Linked DNA regions of Drosophila melanogaster. The protein of the gene in region 1 interacts with the protein of each later gene in a pairwise test. Each region holds a gene or a part of one and is shown on either strand. Other genes may lie near its edges. The genes, in order: Cep290, Lcp65Ac, PheRS-m and Rtf1.

Region 1 (8,009 bases):
ACCGGAGCTGTTGCTCGGCGGACCGTTCCTGCCCAGCTTGGACTCCAGGATTTGCTTGTCCTTTTCCAAGCGCGCTATTGTGGTGCGCGCTGCCTGGAGAAGGGCACGGGTCTTCTCCAGCGCCAGCTCGGTCTCCTCCAGCCGGGCCTTGGTCTTCTCCGCCTGCTGTTGGTACCGCTTCTGCTTCTCCCAGAGCTGCACCTCATTGGCACTCCTCGTGCGCTTGGCCTCCAGGAGCGTCTGCTGTCGCTGCAGCTGGCCACGTGCCTCGTCCAAGTCCAATTCCAGCTGCTGGATTCTCTTCAGCTGGTTCTCGTTCTTAACCCGGGCATTCAGTTCCGTTTTAATGGAGACCACAGGGCGTTTGAGTAGCTGCTGGCGCAGCGACTGGCTGAGATCCCTGGCCTGCTTTTCGCGCTGGGTGACGTTGGCCAGCTGGCGGCGAAGTGCCTCCATTTGGGTGTGATAGATCTTGTTGGTGGCCTCGGTGCGGTTGAGATCGGCAGCCAGCTTGGCTATCTGGTCCTCCGAGAAGTTCGAGGTGTCTTTGATGTAGCGCTGCTGGTCGTCCTGCATGTTTAAAACTTTTAATAGTAGAGATGAATATGATGGTATTGCTGGGCATTACGTGGAAGTTCTTGAGTGTATCCATCAGATCCTTGATGTGCTTGTCCTTCTCATCCAGAAAGATGCGTAGCTGATCCAGTTCGGGATTCACGGTGCTTTCGACCGACTTCTCCCGCTCCTGGCACAGCTTCAACCTGTCGAATGTAACGGATTAAGATCATGCACAACTACTTACTTTACAACTTACTTCTCCTTTAGTATATCCACTTCCTCTTCCCTCGTCTTGAGGCTCCTTTCGCTGTACTCCAGCTTGTCCTTGAGATCCTTGATTTGCTTGTGCAGCGTCGGCACTTCCTTCAGCTCCTCGGTGTCCTGCTTCTCCTCCTCACCTTCGGGCTCTTCGGTAACTATGTTCTCTGGACCTGCTTCCACTGGCACTTCCAACTCTTCTTGGGGTGGTCTCTCCACTGAGCTGCTTTCGAAGAGCTCCTCGATCTTCTCATCCGTCAGCTCGTTGACCGAGCTATCGGAACTGGAACTGGACCTCGAATCCGTCGACGGGTTGCGCTCCACGGGGACCTCGGGTTTCTGTCTCAGCTTCTCCTTAAGGCCCTGAATCTCTGCATCCTTCGTCTTGATGTTGAAGTTCAGGTTGTTAACCGTGGCCCTCAGGGATTCGTTTTCAGCCACCTGTTTGCTAAGTGCTTGCTGACTCTGATCCCTCTCGGTTTGCAGAAGGTCCTGGTACTTTTGTATGGACTGGTCCTTCTCCAGGAGCAGGGTGTGGAACGAGAGTATGGTCTTCTCCACCACACCACCTTGCGGACTGGCGGACTCGCGACTCTCCGATCTGGAAGCCTCCAACTGCTTGCCAAGGATCTCGATGCGCTGGTTGGCTTCCTGCAGACTGTTGGGCATCACCATTTATAGTTGCAAATAGTTATTTACATTTTTTACTTGGGGGAACTTACGTTTCTTGCATTTTTTGTAGCTCCGCGCGGGAATCTCTCCTATTGTCCTCCACTGCATCCGCTGTCTGAACGGCTTGATTCTGCTGGCTGAGAATGCCATTGGTTTGGACTGCCGTCTCCGAGAACTCAACTTGCGCCTCCAGCGTTTGAGTGGCTGTATCCAGGTGCGGATGTTTTCGGAGAGGCGACCCAATGGGCGATGACTCCCTGTCTATCAACTGGACGGCCCTTCTCATGGCCAGATTAGGAGCCACTGCATCGGTATTCGTCTCTGCATCCACCTTGAGTTGACTTCTTGGCTCTCCTTCACCGAACAAGGCCTGGATGGTGCTCCAGTGCTCGGTGTCGGTGGCCTGGCTCATCCTCAACTCACCCAATTCCCGAACGAGCTCCTCCTGTTTGGCCTGCAGAATCTCGCAGCGCTGTTCCAAGAGTCTCGTCTGTGTTTCAGACTTTATGAGCTTCACCAACTGCTGGGAACTCTCCTCGTTGAGACCAATTTTGGCCTGGACCACGGCGGTCACTTCATCAATCAGAGCGGTGTGATCTCTATGTCGCTGCTGCACTTGCTCCTCCTCCAGGCGACGCTGGAACTTTTGGTAGGCGAACACAAAGTTGGTAAGGAAGACCAGTGGCGTGAATTTGGCATATTTATCTTTGAGCATAAACAATGAATGCTGGAGGAATCTGTGGGATTTGGTAGAAAGTCAGATCTGCTAGGGATTATCCACCACTTGGTCTCACTTGTGCTTAATATCGCTATTGGTGCGCTCCTGCTGGAAGTCCTGTTGCGTCTGTTTCAGGGATAACTCGCTGGCCTCCAGTTGGGTTTGCAGGCAGTCCGCCTTTAGCTGCAGTTTTTCTCGCTCTGTTTCCAAGCGGGAGCACTCGGCTTTCACTAAAAAAAAAAAGAGAGACATGCTGGCTACTGATCTTCTCCTCGAATAAGTCTGTGCTTACCACTATCCAGATCCCTCTGGACCTTGGCCAGCATTAGCTTCTCGTCGGAGCTGCTCTGAAGATCGGCCACCAGGTGACGCAGATTGATGTGGTTATCGGTGATCTCATTGAGCAGCCTTTGCTGGGAGTGAATCTGGAAAGAGGATGGGCATTAGATCTCCCATGGGTAGGTATCAAGGAGAATCTCCAACCTGCTCATTGGCCACATGGAGCAGTCCTTCCAGCTGCTTGGTCTCCCTCTGCAGCTCCGCCTGCTTGCTCCTCCAAGTGAGCAGCTCCTGTTGCTGCTCCTCGAAGTCCTGGGCTGTGATGTAATCCAGCTGATAGTTCTCCCTGATTATACCGTACTCAGCGCATATTTCCGTGGGCTTCAGCTCGCCCAGCAGTTGCTCCATCGCCTGGCCAAGTTGCATGCTCAAGATGGCATTCCTGTGCTCCAACTTTTGCTGCTCCTCCGCAGTGTAGAGATTCCTTCGATTCACTTGCTCCAACTCCTCTCTAGCTTCACATAGTTCACTCTTGCTATGCTCCAACTGCCTGGCTAGAGACGCCTTATCATCTATGAAGCGAAGTTCCTGCTTTCTGGTCTCCGTCAGCAGTTGATCGTAATCCCTGCGCATGTAGGAGTAGGAATTCCTTTGCTGCTCCAACTGCAACTCCAAAGCGATCATTTGATCGTGGAGCTCTTGGTTGCGATTCATCAGATCACTGCCATCGGCGGACATATGAAGACGAAGTTCGTCGTAGTGCTTGCGCAGAATGGAGAGCTCAGCCAGGGCCTCGTTCGTGGGTTTCTCCTCGGGATCTGGTACAGTGGGTCTGCGTAATCCCATCGTGGCTTCAGTGGGCGAGCTTGGCCTGGTGGCTGTGTTCAGCACAGCATCCTCCTCGACAGGATGCTCTTCTGCAATCTCGGGAACCTCGCACAGACTATGCACAGAGGACAGTTCTCCCGTCTCGGAGTCACTGTAGTTCTGCTGCTCGAGCAGCTGACGCAGTGCCTCCTCTCGGGCCTTCAGCTCTAGGAGCTGACCCTGGAGTCGCTGCGGAGTGGTCGTTCCGCCGGGCAGAGCTTCGATGAGGCGGCGCAAGAGATCGGAATCGATGGTTATGTGCTCTGAGGTGGCTACATGGATAATGTTTAATACATATAGTTATTCAAGAAATATGTTATGGTTATCTCACCATCATATTCCCGCAGCTTCTCCAGAATCTCGTACATGCCGGAGCGTAGTGTTTCATTTTCGGCCAGGACTTCGTCGTATCGATTCTGCATCTCGGAACTGGCTGCCCCGTCGCCTTGGCCACGTCTCGGCGAATTCTCCAGATGCACACTATGAGGCACTTCACCCACTTCGCTGGGCGCCTGCAGCGATTCGTTCAAGGTCTGCGGACTGTCCTGCTGCAACTCCAAGAGCTTCCGCCTAAGTTCACTCTTTTCCAACTTCAATTGCAGACGCAGCTCCTCGGATGTCCTCAGCTTGAGGGTCAGTCGCTCGATCTGCTTGTCCTTGTTGCGCTGCTTGGAATGGACGTTCTTGGCCATGATGACCACATCGTCGGGGATGTGAAGTTTTCGCCGCAGCAGCTCGTTCTCCTGGACCACCTCGTGCAGGGAGTTCAGCTCCTGGATGTAGGCCCTCAGCTGCTTGTCGCGTGCTGCCACCTTCTGTTCCAATCCCGAGCAGCGTCGCAGAGCGGGAATGAGGCCATCTTCGTCACGCTTGTAGGCCTCCAGGGCACTAATGGCGTGCAGGGCCTGCTGGGACTTGAGCACGTTGTCCTGCTCGGCGGCCTCCAGCATCTCCGAGAGCTGCTGACACCGGGCGGTGGCTTCCCGCAGGCGCTCCTCGATCATCTGGCAGCAGGCTCGCGGCTGCTCGGGATCGTGGGCTCGCTCCTTCTCCTGACACAACTGGTTCATCGCACGCGTGGAGCTAACCATCTCCTCCGCCATTGACTTGATCTTCTCCTCCAGCTTCTCGATGCGTTGTTCCCGGGATTCCAAAAGCTACGAGGGATGAACATTTAGCGAGCTCAAGATCTAGATAAAATATATCGGCAGTTCATCCTTACCTGTCGTAGTTTGGCGTGCTCCTCCTCCTGCTGACTCTGACTGTTGGAAGAATTGGTTTGGCCAGAGCTGATGCTTTTGCCCTCCAGTTGTTTCTTGAGACGCTCCACCTCCTTGTCCCGATCGTCGAGCGCCTGCCTCCAGCCCAGCGACTTGGCCTCGTATTTGTCCAGGAACTGACGCATTTCCACCTCCTGCTTCTCGCGCTCCACCTCCAGGAAAGTTAGATTTCCTTCCAGGCGAGTGATTTCCAGCGCCTGCTGCTGCTCCTTTTGTTTCAAGGACTTGCGCTCCTGCTCCACCTTGGTGATGTCCTGGCTCAATTGCACGAGATTCGCCTTGATGGTCTGCAGCTCCCGCTCGTGGAGCACTATGGTCTTCGATTGAGCTATGTTTTGGTTTTGCAGTGTCTGAAAGGGAATGAATATAGTATATTCTGAATGCAAAACATAATATGACTCACCTCGATTTCCTTTAGCAGCCGCTTGATGTGCTTGTTCTTGGAGTCGATGTTCTGCAGCAGCTGCTCCTGCTTGTCCAGCTCGGACAGGGGATCCGATGAATCCTTGTCGCTGATTTCCGCCTGCTGCGCCGCCTCCTGCAGGCGCAGCTCCAACTGACGGATTTCCTCCCCCAACTAGTGAGAAAAAAGCGTATCCTTGAGCTTGGGTACTTTACATGATCTACTGCTCACCTCCTTGGCTTTGCTCTTCAGGCCATCGCGTTCGTCCTCCAACTTCTGGAGCATTCGCTTCAGCTTCTCATTCTCATCCTGCAGGCGGCGGTCGGAGGAGAGTCCTCCGGCTGCTGATTCCTGCAGCTGCTGTACCTGCTCGCCCTTGTACTCCAAAACGGCCAGGGTGAGTTCCAGGGTTTTCCTCAGCGACTTCTTAGGCAGCTCATCGATGGACTCGGCCAGTTCGAGGAGCGTTTCGTAGAGCTCCTGCTTCTGGCGCGCCGAAAAGTCGCGGAACTTGCGCAGGGATACGGTCTCTGGTATGTCCATGCTCATCCTGGTGGCTCATGGCCTCGCTCCTCGGCGGTTACTCACGTTCTGCGTCCAAATATTCCCCGATTTTCCACACCAGCTCTCCAGTTTTTCCGGTTGCCATGACACTTGGCCCAAAACAAACTACGACTGAAAACCCATTCGGGGGTTGCTTTTCCGGAAACGAGGGTGCCGGCGCGCTCCTTTCAAGTGACCAACCTGCAGGACCTTTGTTTTTGCTGGCGTTCTGTTTTGCTAGCTGCTTCGGCTGCGTAGAAAGTTTCCTGACAGGATAATTGCCTCAACGGCGGCTATAGCGGCAAGGATCGGCGGTGGGAGCAGCCGGTGGCCCACCACAAACAAAAATGGCAATCGGTAACCAGGAAAGTGTTAATTGGCAAAGTGTCAAAGGCCGAGTTTTGAAATTGAAAAGCCATTTCTGTTCGAAGCGACTTTTCCGCCGCCTTCTCGTGTTTCTGTTAACTTTTCTTACACTCGAAAAAAAAATGGTATTTAGTTCAGAGCACACCAAGTGGCTTTTGAAAGGGTTTAGAAGTAAGCAGTAAAGATAAGATTATTATTATTTAGAACTTTAGCTTCCGAACATATTTTTCAGTGCACTCCAACTCCTTTCTCCTTTCAAAACTCATCGAGTTGCCTTCAAAATTACGTTTGCCTACATGTGTAGCAATAATTGAAACTAATGGCAAGCGACTTTGGTTGCCCTCCCATTTGTGGATTCGCCCTCGCTGAATGACAGCTGGCCAAAAATTGAAATTGAAATGACACTCGGAATGGCCAATTATCCTGGAAGCCTTTTGGCCATTTAATAACCGCCCGAGTCGGGTTGGCTGAACTCACACATGAGCTGCTAACTGACTTTTCCTCGCAGGAATCTACCCTTTTTCAAATCTGATTATCTGACTATTTTATTATACATTCAGTTAAGTTAAACTGGACTAAAGTTCACTCATTTAGTTACGCGCACCGCAGTCCCTTGTGGCTCTTAGCATCTATTTGCAGCAGCATAAGTTCGTAGGTCACCAGGGTGGCTAGCATCTGGAGAGGATGGCTGGGATCAGTATGGGAATCGTGAAGACTCGTGAAGTTTACCCACTCCGAAGAGACTCTTTCTTGTCAAGCAGAAGAGACGATATCCAGACAATCCGACAAACTCGCTGGTCAGCTGGTCGGCAAATCTCTGCACCTCCTGCGTCCAGCCATCGCTGGGCACCAAGTACAAGGACCTCAGGGGCAGAAGCGAGGCATCGTGGATCTTGGAGGCAGTCATGAAAACCAGACTCGTCCTGGCCAGCAGGAAGATCAGCGAGTACCAGAAGTAAACGTAGTTTATGGGATGCCGCAGTTTGCTAAAAAGATTTGAAATGAGACTAGGGGGTAGCTACAAACAGATGACTCACGTGAAAATAGCCAACGCCTGGTTGCAGATCACATACACATTGTTAGCGCAGGATACGAACACTATATTCGACATGCTGGCCTCCACCAAACTGGCCAGCTCGCAAAGGCGAATGTGATCCCTCCGAATGTCGTACCACAAGGCTTCGGGAACATGCTAAATGGGATGGGGATTTAAAAGAGAAATACATTGAAATAGTTTGGATTATTTTACACGACCCTCCAGTGCGCCAACTCGAGCGGCAAACTGTTGAAACCTTTGCGCCAGTCCAATACTGGTCATCACAATAAAGATGTCCATGAAGTTCCACAGAAAGGTGAAGGCTCCATTTAGCCACTAAAAAAGAGAGCATTATTCAAACTAACTAACTAAAATATATATAGTTAACTTACAAATCCATAGCACATGGAAAATATATTGAATGGCATGATGAACATGATGTCGGAGAACTCCTTCTCCAAATAAAGTCCAAAGGTAATACGCGAGTGGTTTGTGTGGCACTGCAGGATGTGCATGCTATAGCTGCAGTAGCCAGAGGCGTAGTACAGCATGTGGTCGCCTGAAAGAAAGTTCTTCTGGAAACCATTGAAAGGATAACCCAGAAATCTCACCTACTGCCAGGACGACCACACTCAGAGCAAGGACGTTGACCTTTGACCGAAGGCTTCGCTTGCCACGTTTGTAGGGCGGAAAGAGCATCAGAATGTCCACCGAACTCCAGGGCAGCATTATGTGCGACCAGGAGCGAGCAAAGCCCACGAAGTTTAGCCAGTTGACCATGCCCACGATAAGGAAAACCAAACCCACTATTGAGCTTTCAGTTGGGATCACACTACCATACCATCTAAAACTCACCGATATTCTTGGCATTCAGACCCTCTGTGAAGAGAATATTGGCACCGACCAAGGTCTTCATGCCACCGAGCAAAAGGAAGAGACCGGTGACTGCCAGGCCAATGCTCCTTACCTTGAACTTCACATCCTGGGGATCGCGACTCCGGATATTCGACAAAGGCATAATGCCGAAGA
Region 2 (2,942 bases), 5.3 Mb from region 1:
GTCCGAGGGACATTGAAATTGGAAATGGCAAAAGCTTTTTATTAGGCCGAGCATTTCATTTCGCCTGCACTTGAGCCCAATTTCGATGTGACCCAATTTCACAGTTTATTGACTATTTCTAAGACCAACTAACGCAACTCATGGCCTGGGCAGGGCGCACATTGTAGTTAATTTGTCGAAGACAAATGAAATCTGTGTATCTTGTCGCTGGGCAATCAATCAATCGCAAAACAGGCAAAGCCGAGCCGAAGCATCCAGCAACTGGTTAGGTAACCAGTGTGGGTCAAAGGAAACAAAACGACAAACTGGTTTCTCCCACTCCCACTCTCACTTTTTTTTTGGGTCTCGGTTTCTTTTGCTCCCTTAATTGCCACTTACACGCATTGCATTACATGGCCGAAGGAGTATAAATTCGCCACTCGGCAAGAGAATTGCACGCATTGTCTGCACACTCCTCGAACCCATCACTTGAGTCACCCAATCCCCATCAGCCACATTCCAGCTGCAAAATGAAATTCACTATTGCCATCGCCTTCACCTGTATCCTTGCCTGCTCACTGGCCGCTCCTCCAGCCATCCAGCAGGATGCTCAGGTGCTGCGCTTCGACAGCGATGTCCTGCCCGAGGGCTACAAGTTTGCGTAAGTGGTTGTCGTTCAACAGATTCGGCCAGATTTCCAGGTTTCCAACTGTGTCAAGGTCGTTTGCTAACCGGTTTCTGGTTTTCTTTAGCGTGGAGACGAGCGACGGAAAGTCGCATCAGGAGGAAGGCCAGCTGAAGGACGTGGGCACCGATCACGAAGCAATTGTTGTCCGCGGATCCTATGCCTATGTCGGTGACGATGGTCAGACCTACAGCATTCAGTACCTGGCCGATGAGAACGGCTTCCAGCCCGAGGGTGCCCATCTGCCCAGGCCCGTTCAGTGAATCCCAGGGAATCCGATTGAAAGTCATTCGCCAATCAAGTTCCAATTCAGCGCAAATGTGTTAACTATGTCTAAGTTTCGTCTGAAGAACATCATAATATTAAAGTAACATCATTCATTTAAATTCTTACTGTGTACACTTCATTTTGGGACCTAGCTATTTTATCGTAAAGGTCACTGTTCTGTAAAAGTTGTGATTAAAGGGTTTCATAAATTAAAGAAAGTTTTTAAATATAAATAAAAAATCTTTGCATAAAATACATATTCCGCTTTGGTTTTAATTTAATAGAAATAAACTTTGGTCTTTTTATATAAATGCTTATTTTACAGTATTTACACTGTTAGTAGTATATTATTTTAAATATTATCATGAACAAATGTTACAAATGGTGTAGCACAACAGATATTTTCTATGTTCTAAAATATCCAGTTTATTCTATTTAGATTTCAGAGGAAGTGAAAAAGTGCATAATTTTAAATTCTTTACTCTCAACTATAAATCTGAAACCTGAAACGGGCTTTCAATTCGAATCACCTGCCATTTCTGGACATGCTGCTTCTTTTGCTGCAGGGCAACCTAGCCGCCCCACTCTACCACAAAATATGCATATACCCATGGATTATCAAAAATGTTTGGCTTGTTGTCTTCGACTTGGAAGCTATTGGATTGATTGATTCATGAAAAATGCAAATGATGATGATGAGGTATTTCCTAAAAACGGCGTCGATTTGTTTGCCTTAGAAGTTTTTGTTTTAAATTATTATTTGCGTCTTGGTGTGGTTGTTGTGATTTTTTCATGATGTTTTTGTGCGTTTTTCAAGCCAATTTGTTGGCTTTGGTGCTCGGCGTGTAATTAGTCATTTTTATTTTCGACTAAATTTTCTTCGATTGTCGGCCTCCGATCCGACTATATAAACGCCGGGACAGGGCCATAAACATCACAAATCAAGTAACGTTGACTAGCCGTTCGGTCGCAAGTTCCCATCGAATCCTTAGCCAAATTAGCCAAAACAAAAAGAAAAACATGAAGTGCACAGTTGCCATCGTCTTCACCGCTCTCTTCGCCGTCGTTCTGGCTGCCCCCGCTCCCGATGCGGATACCCAGATCCTGCGTCTGGAGTCCGACGTCCAGCCGGAGGGCTACAACTTTGCGTAAGTGTATCAAACTCCGGTCAGCTCGGTGCGACGATTATCCAAGGATTAAATACCCATTCTCCCACAGTTTGGAGACCAGCGACGGCAAGAAGCACGAGGAGCAGGGTCAGCTCAAGAACGTCGGCACCGAACAGGAGGCCATCGTGGTCCGCGGATCCTACTCCTTCGTGGCCGATGATGGCCAGACCTACACGGTCAACTACATCGCTGACGAGAACGGATTCCAGCCCGAGGGTGCCCATCTGCCCAATGTGCCCATCGGCAACTAAGCGGATACGGATACGCTAACCGAGAGCTGTTCTATGTATAATGGTTTCTAGTTGATTATTAAATAAACGCGGCAAAAAAATCGAACTCAATACCTTTTATTTTTTTCAAAGTCTATCTATAAAATTTAATGATTTGCTTGAAATTTAATTAACGCAAATGTCAGTTACTTTGTCTAAGAATATTATGAACAAAAGTCTTTCCTAAACCCTAAAGAAAGGAAAACCCATGATTCATAGAAATATTGATTGCATTTAGTAACACTTACACGTTCTCATCTTTATTGGCACAATATTAAGAGTTCCAATGTAGAGACCCTAATTCATTGGCCATTGCCTGGAACCCATAAACTACATAAATATGCAAGTCATAACAGATAACATATGCTAACTAAGATGGAGTCAAATAGTAAACAAATCCACAGTGTCCCAATACTACCTAAAACCGTTTTCATTATTAGCAATAAGAAAACTCTTCTGCGGAATTTGAATAATATAAGGTAGATTGAAAAATAATAGCTCTTGATTGCTCAAAGATCAGCGACCGGTGGACCGCTTTCATCCCTTTCATCTTCGGCCAAACGCAGCCATTGA
Region 3 (3,703 bases), on another chromosome or scaffold:
CTCTTCCGCACCCAAGGATACGTCGGAGATTTTGAGCGTTACTGGCATTATTTCCAAAACGGATTAAGTAAGTGATCCTTCGATGGAGTTGCCATCCTTAACCAACTATCTTTCAGATCCCTGGCTGCCCTATTACAGTCACGTTAAGGAGGCGCGGGAGCATGCCCATTTGTCCAATGTACTCTTTCTGCGCTACGAAGACATGTTGGCTGATCTGCCAGGTGCAATCAACAGCATAGCCAGCTTCTTAGAGTGTCCACCGAAACCCGAGGATATGGATAGGCTACTCGATCATCTGAGCATCAGAAGCTTCCGTGAGAACAAGTCCGTAAACATGCACGAAATGGCTTCCGTTGGCGTTCTCAACAAAGGAGAGGCAGGATTCGTGCGCAGCGGAGCCAAGACAGCGTATCAGCCGCAACAGGAGTTCGTGGAGAATCCGAAGCTTTTGAAGAGCGCCAACGAGTGGGTGGAACAGAATATTAAATCATTCAAGACCATATGAAATACCTGACTTTGTTGGCTATCTTTACTGGTGTTTTTCTTTTTTGGTTTTGAATTGAAACGGAACTAGACTATGACTAACGTATTTGCACATTGAAACTATCCACGCTCGCACTAGCGATCTGCTTGTGGATTTCGTTGACCTCCGCCTGGGTTAAGGTGCGCTCCATATGGCGATAAACAATGCGGAAGCACACGCTCGATTTCCCCGTTTTCGGGTGCTTAAACTTGTCCACCAGACTGATCTGTAAGAAAAGTAAAGTATATGAGAAATACTCGTAACATATGATACGTTTGGGATAGCTAAGACCAACCTGCTCCACCATATCACCAGCTACAGAGCGGACTAGATCGTAAAAGTCGTTCGGCGAGAAGCCGGCATCCACCTCAATGTCCTGGGGCAGCCAGAACGACAAGTCATTCGTGCACTGCGGATAGTGGGAGATGGGCTTGTACTTGGGCAGATTGTGCAGATCCTTTTCGCTAAACTGCGACAGAAAGCCACTGTCGTTCGACCAGAAGAGCCGGATGTCAGGTATATCGAACAGCACCATGGCCAGTCGCTCCAGGCCGACGCCAAAGGCGTAGCCAATCGATTGATGAACGCCCGATCTCTGCAGGATTTCGTGGCGCATGATGCCGCAGCCTAAGACCTCCAGCCAGTTGTCCTTGAAATAGATCTCCAGCTCCCAGGAGGGCTGGGTGAAGGGAAAATAGGTGTCCACCCATCTGTACTTGATGCGCGGCCCAAACAGATCCTTGGTCAGGCCAACCAGCACGTGCTTCATCTCGTGCTCCATCAACTTGACGGCCTCGAGCGTGTGGCAGGGCTGTTTGGTTTGGTCCATGAACTTGGATGAGGGCAGAATCAGCTTGGGGTCGGCCAGCGTACCCGACCACGTCTCTTCAAAGAGTTCCAGGCCAGGATTGCGCTCGAAAAGCTTGTCTTTGGTGACCAGCCGCACAGCGTCCGCCTGGTGGAATACCGGATAGTGGGTGCTATCGATTTCGTCCCGTCGATACACCTCGCCCACGACCAGAAAGTTGTCCAGCCCGCCCGAGATCAATTCCACCTGATGGGCGGTGGTGTGGGCGCGCAGCAGATGCTGCTGATTGATGTAATAGCAATCGGATTTCTGTCGACTCACATGATCGGCGGGAATTAGCAGATTGTCAAAGTTCTGCTGCACAGTAACCACCGGATTCATTTGATCATAGACGGAGAATAGTGGATTGCCCCTTTGGTTGCGATACGCTCCATAAAAGTAGTTTACGATCCTCTGGCGGATGATGGAAAGCGGGTGGTCCGTCTGCAGGTGCTTGTTGGCCCCCACGTAGGAGAGTATCTTGGGCGTTACGTTCGTCCATCCGTCGGTGGCGTACGTGCTTCCACTGACCTCCAGCTGCGGTGGCGATGACGGCGACTTCGCGGGCGCCGCACTGCTGGCCAGGCAGCGGGTGGACTTCAACCAGTGCCGTGCTCCCTGCACTCGAAGCGTCAGAAGCATATTGGAGGGACTTTATTGATTCGATGCAACTATTTATTGCATTTTTTGTTATAACTTGGAAGTTATGTTATGTTATCAGATGTTATGTTAACATATCGATAATTTTCTACAGCAGTCGCAAGGCTTCAGCAGCACGGACTGTGCTGTTAGGCGCACACTAACAGAGCTGTTGGATAACCACCTGGCGCCATCTGCCGGAAAGCGAAAGTGTTGAACAGAAATTGTATGAAATTGTATGAATTGAAATGTATTTTTTAAATCAAAACTAAAAATTGTGAATAAGTAATCAAATATTACAAATTCAAAGCAAAATACATAAAATATATTTTTAAGGGATGTCTTGAGTGAAAAGAAACCAAACTTAGTTGACTGCAAAACTTTGATTTGCCAAAATAACTTCTCTCCCAATTCAAAAACTTCAATTTTTAAAATTATATAATTTTTATTTATTTTTCTACAAACATCAACAGATTTGTTGTTCACCTATATCATACATGATGGCAGAGAAACGCGAATACAATGGACCCATTACAAAATTAGTTCATTAAATATGAGGTTGGGCTAAATTATTAAAGTTCATTTTTGAGATGCTTGCGTTGGTATCTTTTCTGTTTCTTTTCTAAATCATATCATATGAATGCTGGGGCTAAACTACATCAGTTCTGCTCTAGACCAGGGGATAGCTGGAGGCGCTAGCGATGCCGCACTGGTTCTCCTTGTTGCGCAGCATCTTGATGAAGCCCTTGTCGCCCCAGGTGGTGCCCCACGAGTTCTTCACCAGCCAGTAATCCTCGCCGGACTCGTCGGTGCCGAAGCCAACGACCAGCACACCGTGATCCAGATTCTGGGCATCACACTGCGGCTCGTTGTAGACGCCCTCCGAGTAGAACTGGAACGACTCGTGGGAGGCATCGATGGCGACGGAAACGGGACCAACGGTGGCCACAGCCTCGGCCATCTTCTTCTCATCACCCTGGGGAATATCGGTGAATCCACGATCGGTGGCTCCGACTGTGCCCTTGTTAAAGTGGCACGAGTCATCGATGGCCTCGTAGGGATAGGACTTCTCGGTATCGATGCCTCCATTATCCTTAATATAGCGGAAGGCATTGTCCATGAGACCGCCGTTGCATCCATTGTTGCCGTACTTGGTGGAGCAATCGACCAGATTCTGCTCGGACAGCGAGACGAGGACACCGGACTTGCGGAAATGCTGACCCTCGAGGGCGCCTGTGCTGGAGAAGGCCCAGCAGCTGCCGCAGTGTCCCTGATCCTTGACGGCGGTCACAGCTCCCTTGGTGCGCCAGTCCACAGATTTGGGCAGCGTCACATGAGCCGGCGAGATGAAGGTGACTCCCTTGAAGCTTTCATCGGCGGCACTGAAAGCGAATGCAAAGTTGAATATGTGCACATTATAATCCTTAACGATCCCAACTTACCGCAGTTGCTTGTGCAGAGTGTAGTTGAAGCCGTTCATCAGCTGACGGAATTCGTGGTGCAGCAAATCGGCGTACTTATTGACCGCCAGTTTGAAGCTCACCTTGCCCTCGGCGAATCGCTGGTTGTGCTTGGCAATCTTGTGCTTGTTCTCATTGAAGATCTTGAGGCGGAAACGCTCCTCGGTTTCATCCTGATAGTTCTTGCGGTGCTCCAGCTGCATAATGAAAAGTATTAGTATTAGTTAGATAATG
Region 4 (5,760 bases), on another chromosome or scaffold:
GAAACAATATGTTCGGCACGGCGAGGTTCCCAAAAAGACAGAACGAAACAACTTGGAAAATATTCGAGCGGAAGTGCATTATATAGCGATCAATTCAAGTTTATTTCAAATTAGCATCCTATTTAGCATGTATTTCGATCGATTGCAGCGGAGTTAGCTCGAATATGCCTTTCAAATATTGACCGTTAAAGTCTCTTTATATATTTGCAGATCTTGAAAAACGTTTTTCCCTCTGACGAAACGCGATTGTGTTCAATTAAAAGACAATTTCATCGAATTAATTGAATTAATTTGGTGAGAACATGAAAGGAGTCAGCCAGCTGCGCAAACAGACTGCAAACCAATTAAGAGGAGCCAACTGTCCAACAGTCCAGAATGGTGACCATAAGTTTACTTTTCATTGGTGCTTATGTGGGAATAGGCGCCAAGTATACAAGATAACAAATCCTATACAGTATCCCAACACTAGATCAATAACATTATTTAAGTCTTTTTCTTTATTATAAATAATATTTATATATGTATATTTAAGTATATGAAAGCTGTTGCTACAACTGATGAATTTTGCCTTAATCTAATACAGCATTGAACGGTTACAACCAACGGATACATACTCGCTTGAATGAGTCTTATATAACCCTTTCAATAATCCTCTTCATATTTGTCCATGGAATATCCTTCAAATTTGCCATTTGCCTGAGTAAACGATTAAGTCTTCGCTGAAAACTAATTCCGTATTAATTATGTTAGTTGTTAATTTATGGAACAAATCGTTGGAAATGATTAGGCTGGATGGGGTTTTACTCTTTTCGTTATAACATTTTTAGCTTAAAACTTTAAAAATTTCACAATATATACTTAAATAAGTTCGTTATCTGCATAGGCATTCCAAATGTTCGAAATTACTGTTGATTCTTAAGTGTTGCTTGCATAATTTTTCTAAAAATTATATCATAATAGTGAAACAAAACAAACACAAACAGAGAAAGTATCCTCGATTGGGATATTCAATTCGCCCGACCTATCTAAAACTTTCTGTGTCAACCTTATTATATATATATATGAACTGTAACTATAAGCCGAGCTGATTGCCCGTCGTTTTTTTTGTTGCTCTTTAAGTTGGTTGAGTCGTTGAAGCAAACGATCGCTGTATTCATTTCATTTGGGCACTACACTAAACTAGGACGTAAACATGCGACGCTTTGTCAGTATATGTATGACCAGCGGCATCCTTTTCTAGATAAGACCGCGCTTTTTTTTGTAATCCTCTAGATTCAGCGAACGTTTGGAGACTGTTTCAGCTGGTTTGCTAGCCGGCTTGGGCACTGAATTCGTATTGACTAAAAAAGAAAATGGTTATGCCCATTGCTCAACTGCAGAATACGTTAGTTACATACCTGGTAGCGGAACATCTAGGTCAATGTCAAAGTCATGCAGTGAGTAGAGACTGTAGTCCTTGGAGTCCGTGGACCTGACGCTTGCACTCGAAGTTCCTGCTTCGTTGGGCCTCTTTTTTCCTGGGGGTGGCGGCGGCAGTGGTGCCAGTTGCATGTCATCTTCGTCCTTCTTGGCACCCTTGAAGCCCATGCGCGGCTGAGTAATGCGACGTGTGAAGGGATCCGAGATCTTGAGGCCTTTGTTGGCCCGAGCCTCCTCTAAAATTGCCTTCTCAGCGTCCTCCACATTCTTCTTCCTGTTCCTGTCGTTTATGTAGGAGATCAGATTGAGGGTATGGGATCTTCTTTTGTCGAGCTCAGAGGCTCGGTTCTCCAGCTCGTCGATTTGCTGTCCCAGATCCTGTGCAATGTCGTAGTCACCCCGCAACATGGCTGCATCTCGCTCCTTCATCAGGCAGGTTTTCTTCATCGCATAATTGGTGGGTCGGTTCCGGAAGCGGTTCTTCTCCTCCACGATCTTGTCCACGTCCTCGTCCTTGAATTCGTAGTTCAATGCTTTTTTGATGTCGTTCTGCTTGATCGCTATTAGATCAATCGTTGGCATCTGGACGTGCGACTGCTGGCAGACCTCGTTCCACTTGTTGAACTCGTTCTCCGTAAACTCCTGGTTCGAAATGAACTCGAGTCGGAAGACCCGCTCCTGGGTTCCGTGCTTAAGTCTCAATCCACGATTGGTTCGTGTAGTGCCCAGACTGTAGATCTTCCCCGTCTCAACCACTCCCACAATTTCGGCCACTCGATACACGGGTTTCTGGCCATTGTTTCCGATACTTATCCGGACAAAGCAGTTGAGTACAGTGCTCTCAAAGATTGGCAAGTTCACAAATCGCTCCATTTTGTAGCGAGATAGACGCAATTTGTTAAGATCCTCGCGTGTGGTTATAAAAACGGGCCGCTGAGGCGCCTTTTCTTCGTCCTCGGATTCGCTGGAGGCCTTGCTGCTGTTGGAACGTGAACGTTTGCCCGCGGGCTTTTCTTCCTCATCCCAATCGCTGCTGCCTGAGTCGTCAGAGTATATTTCAGAGGCTTTCAGTTTCACGGCCGATTTACAACCAGATACGCTATCGAGTTCCTCTTTGTCGTCATCACGATCTTTTTCTGCCATGCGTTTGGCTTCCTCCTCTTCTGCAAGGTGAATGGAAAAAACAACACATTAGAGTCGTATGACGATTATGATCGACTGATGCTTACCTCTTTTAGCCTTGCCCTCTCTTTTGGCTTTTAATAAGGCCATGGCATTGCTCCTCTTGTCGTCCGTCTTGTTGGCCTCCACGTTCTTCTTGCGCTCCTTGGAACGTTCCTTGTGATCAAAGTAATCAGAGACGCCAGCGGAGGAAGCTGCATCGTCGGGCATAATACTGGCCACTGCCGCTGAAGTGGAAGCCGCATCTCGGTTAAGGGCAGGCGTGGACAACGGACTCGCTGACCGTACTTCGTTGCTGGGCTTGGGTTCGACATCTAAAAGTGTGGATGTGGAAGCTTGAGTTGGCAAGGGCGCCTGGGCTTCCCTGGCTTTCCTCGCCTTCTTCTCGCGCTTTTCCTTCTTCTTCTTGGCCCGTTCTCCTTTGTTCTTGGACTTTTCTTGGTTTTTCTCGCCGCGCCTTGCCAGCTTCAGTTTCCGTTCGATTTCCCAGCGCGTTCGCATAATCTCGCGCTGCTCAATGCGCTTGTAAATTTCAGTTTCACGCTCCTTCTCGGACAAACCATTGAGACGCCTTCGATCCTCATCATCGCCCATGAGGTCATCATCGAACCCGTCGTCAAATTCCGAGTCGGAGCTGGAGGAAGAACTAGAGGAGTCGGAGCCGGATGAGGAGGAGTTGGACTTGGACTTGTCGGAATCGCTATCGGAGACCTCGCCCTCCTCCTGCTCGCTGAGCTGGGCGGGCTGGGAGGCCTGCTCCGGGGGCTTGTGCTCCTGTTGCGTCTGTGCAGGACTCTGCCTCGCTGGCTGCCTCTCATCCTGACTGTCGTCATCCCAATTGGACTCCGAGGAGCTGGAGTCTCTGCTGGGCTTCTGACGCTTCTTCTTCTTGGACGAGGGAGCTCCAGCTTTGTTGTTGGCCCAGTCGGAATCAGAGTCGGAGCGGGAACTTGACTTGGCCGCCGTTTGGGGCTTCTTTCGCTTCTTGGCGAGCGACATCAGGTCCTGGGGATTACATATAAGGTGTATTTTCAGTATTTATATTGATTTTCGTTACATCGCAATATGGAGAAAGGGGCGCGGATGATGCATTTGATCTATTCTATAGCCACTCACCGATTCCAGATTGGTCTCGGACTCGCTGTCGCTATCGCTGGAGTTGGAGTCGATCAGGGATTGCGTCCGCCGTTTGCCCATTTCCGATCGTTTCCTGGCCTTTACTTAATAATAAAATTTAACCAAATCAGAACGAAAAAATTTTAGTGCGTGCCGTTGGAGATGGCAACGAGTGTGATATGGCCTATCGGGATTTTGTCTGTCCTCGCTACGTGCTATCGATATGCTAGGGCTGGCAACAGTAATCGAGCTGTCAGCTGTAAGCGCGGGAAAACTATTTGATCCCAGGGAACACATTGAGTGGGAACAGTTTCAAAAGGGATTCAAGGGGAATCTCCGACTTTTATTTATATTTTTATAAATAAGCAACAAATCGTGTTTTCAAATTCACGTGTAGCTTAAGTGAATTTACCCAATTGGATTCAGTTTATTTTATGTAAGCAAGTTATTCTAACTTAATAGTAACAATAATAATAGCGAATATAAACAATTGTATATCTTTGTATCCTTGACAACTATCTTCGAACTCATTTTGCTTGTAAAATTGTTAAAAAAAAAAAAACAACTTAAAACGAATAGTAGTCCCTTTGATTGATTCATTTTAAAATATCAGACTCTCCTTTTTAAGTAATTTGGTACCCTTGTATGTCATGTGACACCCTTAAATAATCGCTTATTTTGAACTCGAGCCCAATTCCTTTTGGAGTTTTTTGAGCTCGGACAGGACGCGACAGGACCTACCACCCACCACTGCGGGGAAATACCTTGCGGCTGGTGCAGCACGTGCACATTTTGCCGCGCTGTCGAGCGCAACACTGAATCACACTTAAAGCAGAGTTGAAAAAATACGGCGAAGCTGTTCGAGCAAGGTAAACATAAGGGGTGGGGTGGGGACGTGGGTGGAGGTGCAGGGGAATGGAAATGCCGGCGGCGGCAGAATTGAAATGCAAATTTCGGCATCCCCATTATCCCTATCCCAGCCCCCTTCAATTTGCATGATGATACCGAATGGCTGGGCGGGAATGCTGACTTTGTGTACCCTGTAATAGGCAAACATTTGTCTGCACGCTGGTAAGTGGGTTATGTACTTGTTTGTGCCCCACGCAAAAACACATTTTGAAAACTAAATTAAAGCCACACCTGCTGCCCCCCTTCCCCACACATAAAATAGCTTACAATCAATATTAATTAAAATGCAGGCGTTTTCCAGGTCCCTCGAGCGCGCTTTCCCTAAGTTCATGCTGCCAGCGGGGGCGAAAGGGGTGGGTTTTTTTTTGGGGGGTGGAGGGTGGAACACGCACCCACATACGAACTTTCATAATTCGCCTTAAATGCTGCGTGGCAATTTGCAGTAGCAGCAGTTGTAGCAACAATAACAGCGCCACGAGGAAGCCCATTGCACATTCAACAAAGTGCACATTCTGCAGCAACAACGACTACGACGAGAGCAGCAGCAATGCGACAACTCATGAAAACAACCAACCCGATGCCACCGCCCAACCGAAAAACCATATTTCAAAACAGTGAGTTCTCAACGTGATGAACAAATAAATTATTTCTTCTGTTACTATAAATCTCTTTTTAAAATTGTGTGCTTCACTTTAAAGATGCCTTCAATAAGACCCTTCGAAACATAATAAACATTATGAACTACCCTTGCCCGTAAGTTTCTCAATTCCTGTAAACAATATATTTTCCCATTAATTTGTTGATCTGCGGATTCTGTAATACAAGACCATTTCGCAGCGACCCCTGTAGATGGATTTCGCATTAACCACCCAACCCCCGACGATCCACCCTCGAAATGCCGAGCTCGGAGCTTTGAAGCTCAGCTTTGGAGCATGCGCAGCAGAGCGAGAGAGTGAGGGCGGTAGAGAGAGAGAGAGAGAAAACAAGAGCGGCGAACGCCCAAGGGGGTTGTCCCTGCCCCCCCGCTTTGTTTTTGCCATTTTTGGGTTGAAAGCTCTTGTCCGGCGGCGCTGTTGCGTTGGCGTTGCGTTTTTGTTGCGCCGGCTGTTTTGCCAAAAGTGGTAAGAAAGAGTG

Evidence for each region.
Region 2: the proteins of Cep290 (region 1) and Lcp65Ac interact in a two-hybrid assay, tested with the Drosophila melanogaster proteins (one large-scale study listed by BioGRID).
Region 3: the proteins of Cep290 (region 1) and PheRS-m interact in a two-hybrid assay, tested with the Drosophila melanogaster proteins (one large-scale study listed by BioGRID).
Region 4: the proteins of Cep290 (region 1) and Rtf1 interact in a two-hybrid assay, tested with the Drosophila melanogaster proteins (one large-scale study listed by BioGRID).

What each region holds. Positions count from the first base shown.
Region 1 is NT_037436.4:841,941-849,949, reverse strand, and holds the start of Cep290 (centrosomal protein 290kDa), read right to left. Parts: upstream 6,025-8,009; 5' UTR 5,585-6,024; coding exon 5,267-5,584; intron 5,210-5,266; coding exon 5,036-5,209; intron 4,983-5,035; coding exon 4,575-4,982; intron 4,510-4,574; coding exon 3,684-4,509; intron 3,625-3,683; coding exon 2,690-3,624; intron 2,632-2,689; coding exon 2,499-2,631; intron 2,437-2,498; coding exon 2,283-2,436; intron 2,226-2,282; coding exon 1,539-2,225; intron 1,475-1,538; coding exon 815-1,474; intron 762-814; coding exon 629-761; intron 571-628; coding exon 1-570. Other genes in the region: Gr61a (gustatory receptor 61a), read right to left, coding at 6,539-6,619, 6,678-6,930, 6,982-7,136, 7,194-7,316, 7,373-7,539, 7,592-7,786, 7,836-8,009. UniProt on the Drosophila melanogaster protein: Essential for ciliogenesis in sensory neurons and spermatocytes.
Region 2 is NT_037436.4:6,142,960-6,145,901, forward strand, and holds Lcp65Ac (Lcp65Ac), read left to right. Parts: upstream 1-1,859; 5' UTR 1,860-1,951; coding exon 1,952-2,079; intron 2,080-2,149; coding exon 2,150-2,351; 3' UTR 2,352-2,434; downstream 2,435-2,942. Other genes in the region: Lcp65Ad, read left to right, coding at 510-640, 732-927.
Region 3 is NT_033778.4:13,966,718-13,970,420, reverse strand, and holds PheRS-m (Phenylalanyl-tRNA synthetase, mitochondrial), read right to left. Parts: upstream 2,114-3,703; 5' UTR 2,013-2,113; coding exon 819-2,012; intron 750-818; coding exon 582-749; 3' UTR 519-581; downstream 1-518. Other genes in the region: St4 (sulfotransferase 4), read left to right, coding at 1-67, 117-505; CtsL1 (cathepsin L1), read right to left, coding at 2,680-3,391, 3,452-3,666. UniProt on the Drosophila melanogaster protein: Is responsible for the charging of tRNA(Phe) with phenylalanine in mitochondrial translation.
Region 4 is NT_033778.4:22,373,230-22,378,989, reverse strand, and holds Rtf1 (Rtf1), read right to left. Parts: upstream 3,901-5,760; 5' UTR 3,799-3,900; coding exon 3,718-3,798; intron 3,607-3,717; coding exon 2,649-3,606; intron 2,583-2,648; coding exon 1,398-2,582; intron 1,341-1,397; coding exon 1,237-1,340; 3' UTR 506-1,236; downstream 1-505. UniProt on the Drosophila melanogaster protein: Plays a role in transcription-coupled histone modification. Required for methylation of 'Lys-4' of histone H3. Plays a role in regulation of transcription. Required for maximal induction of heat-shock genes. Plays a role in Notch signaling in the wing margins.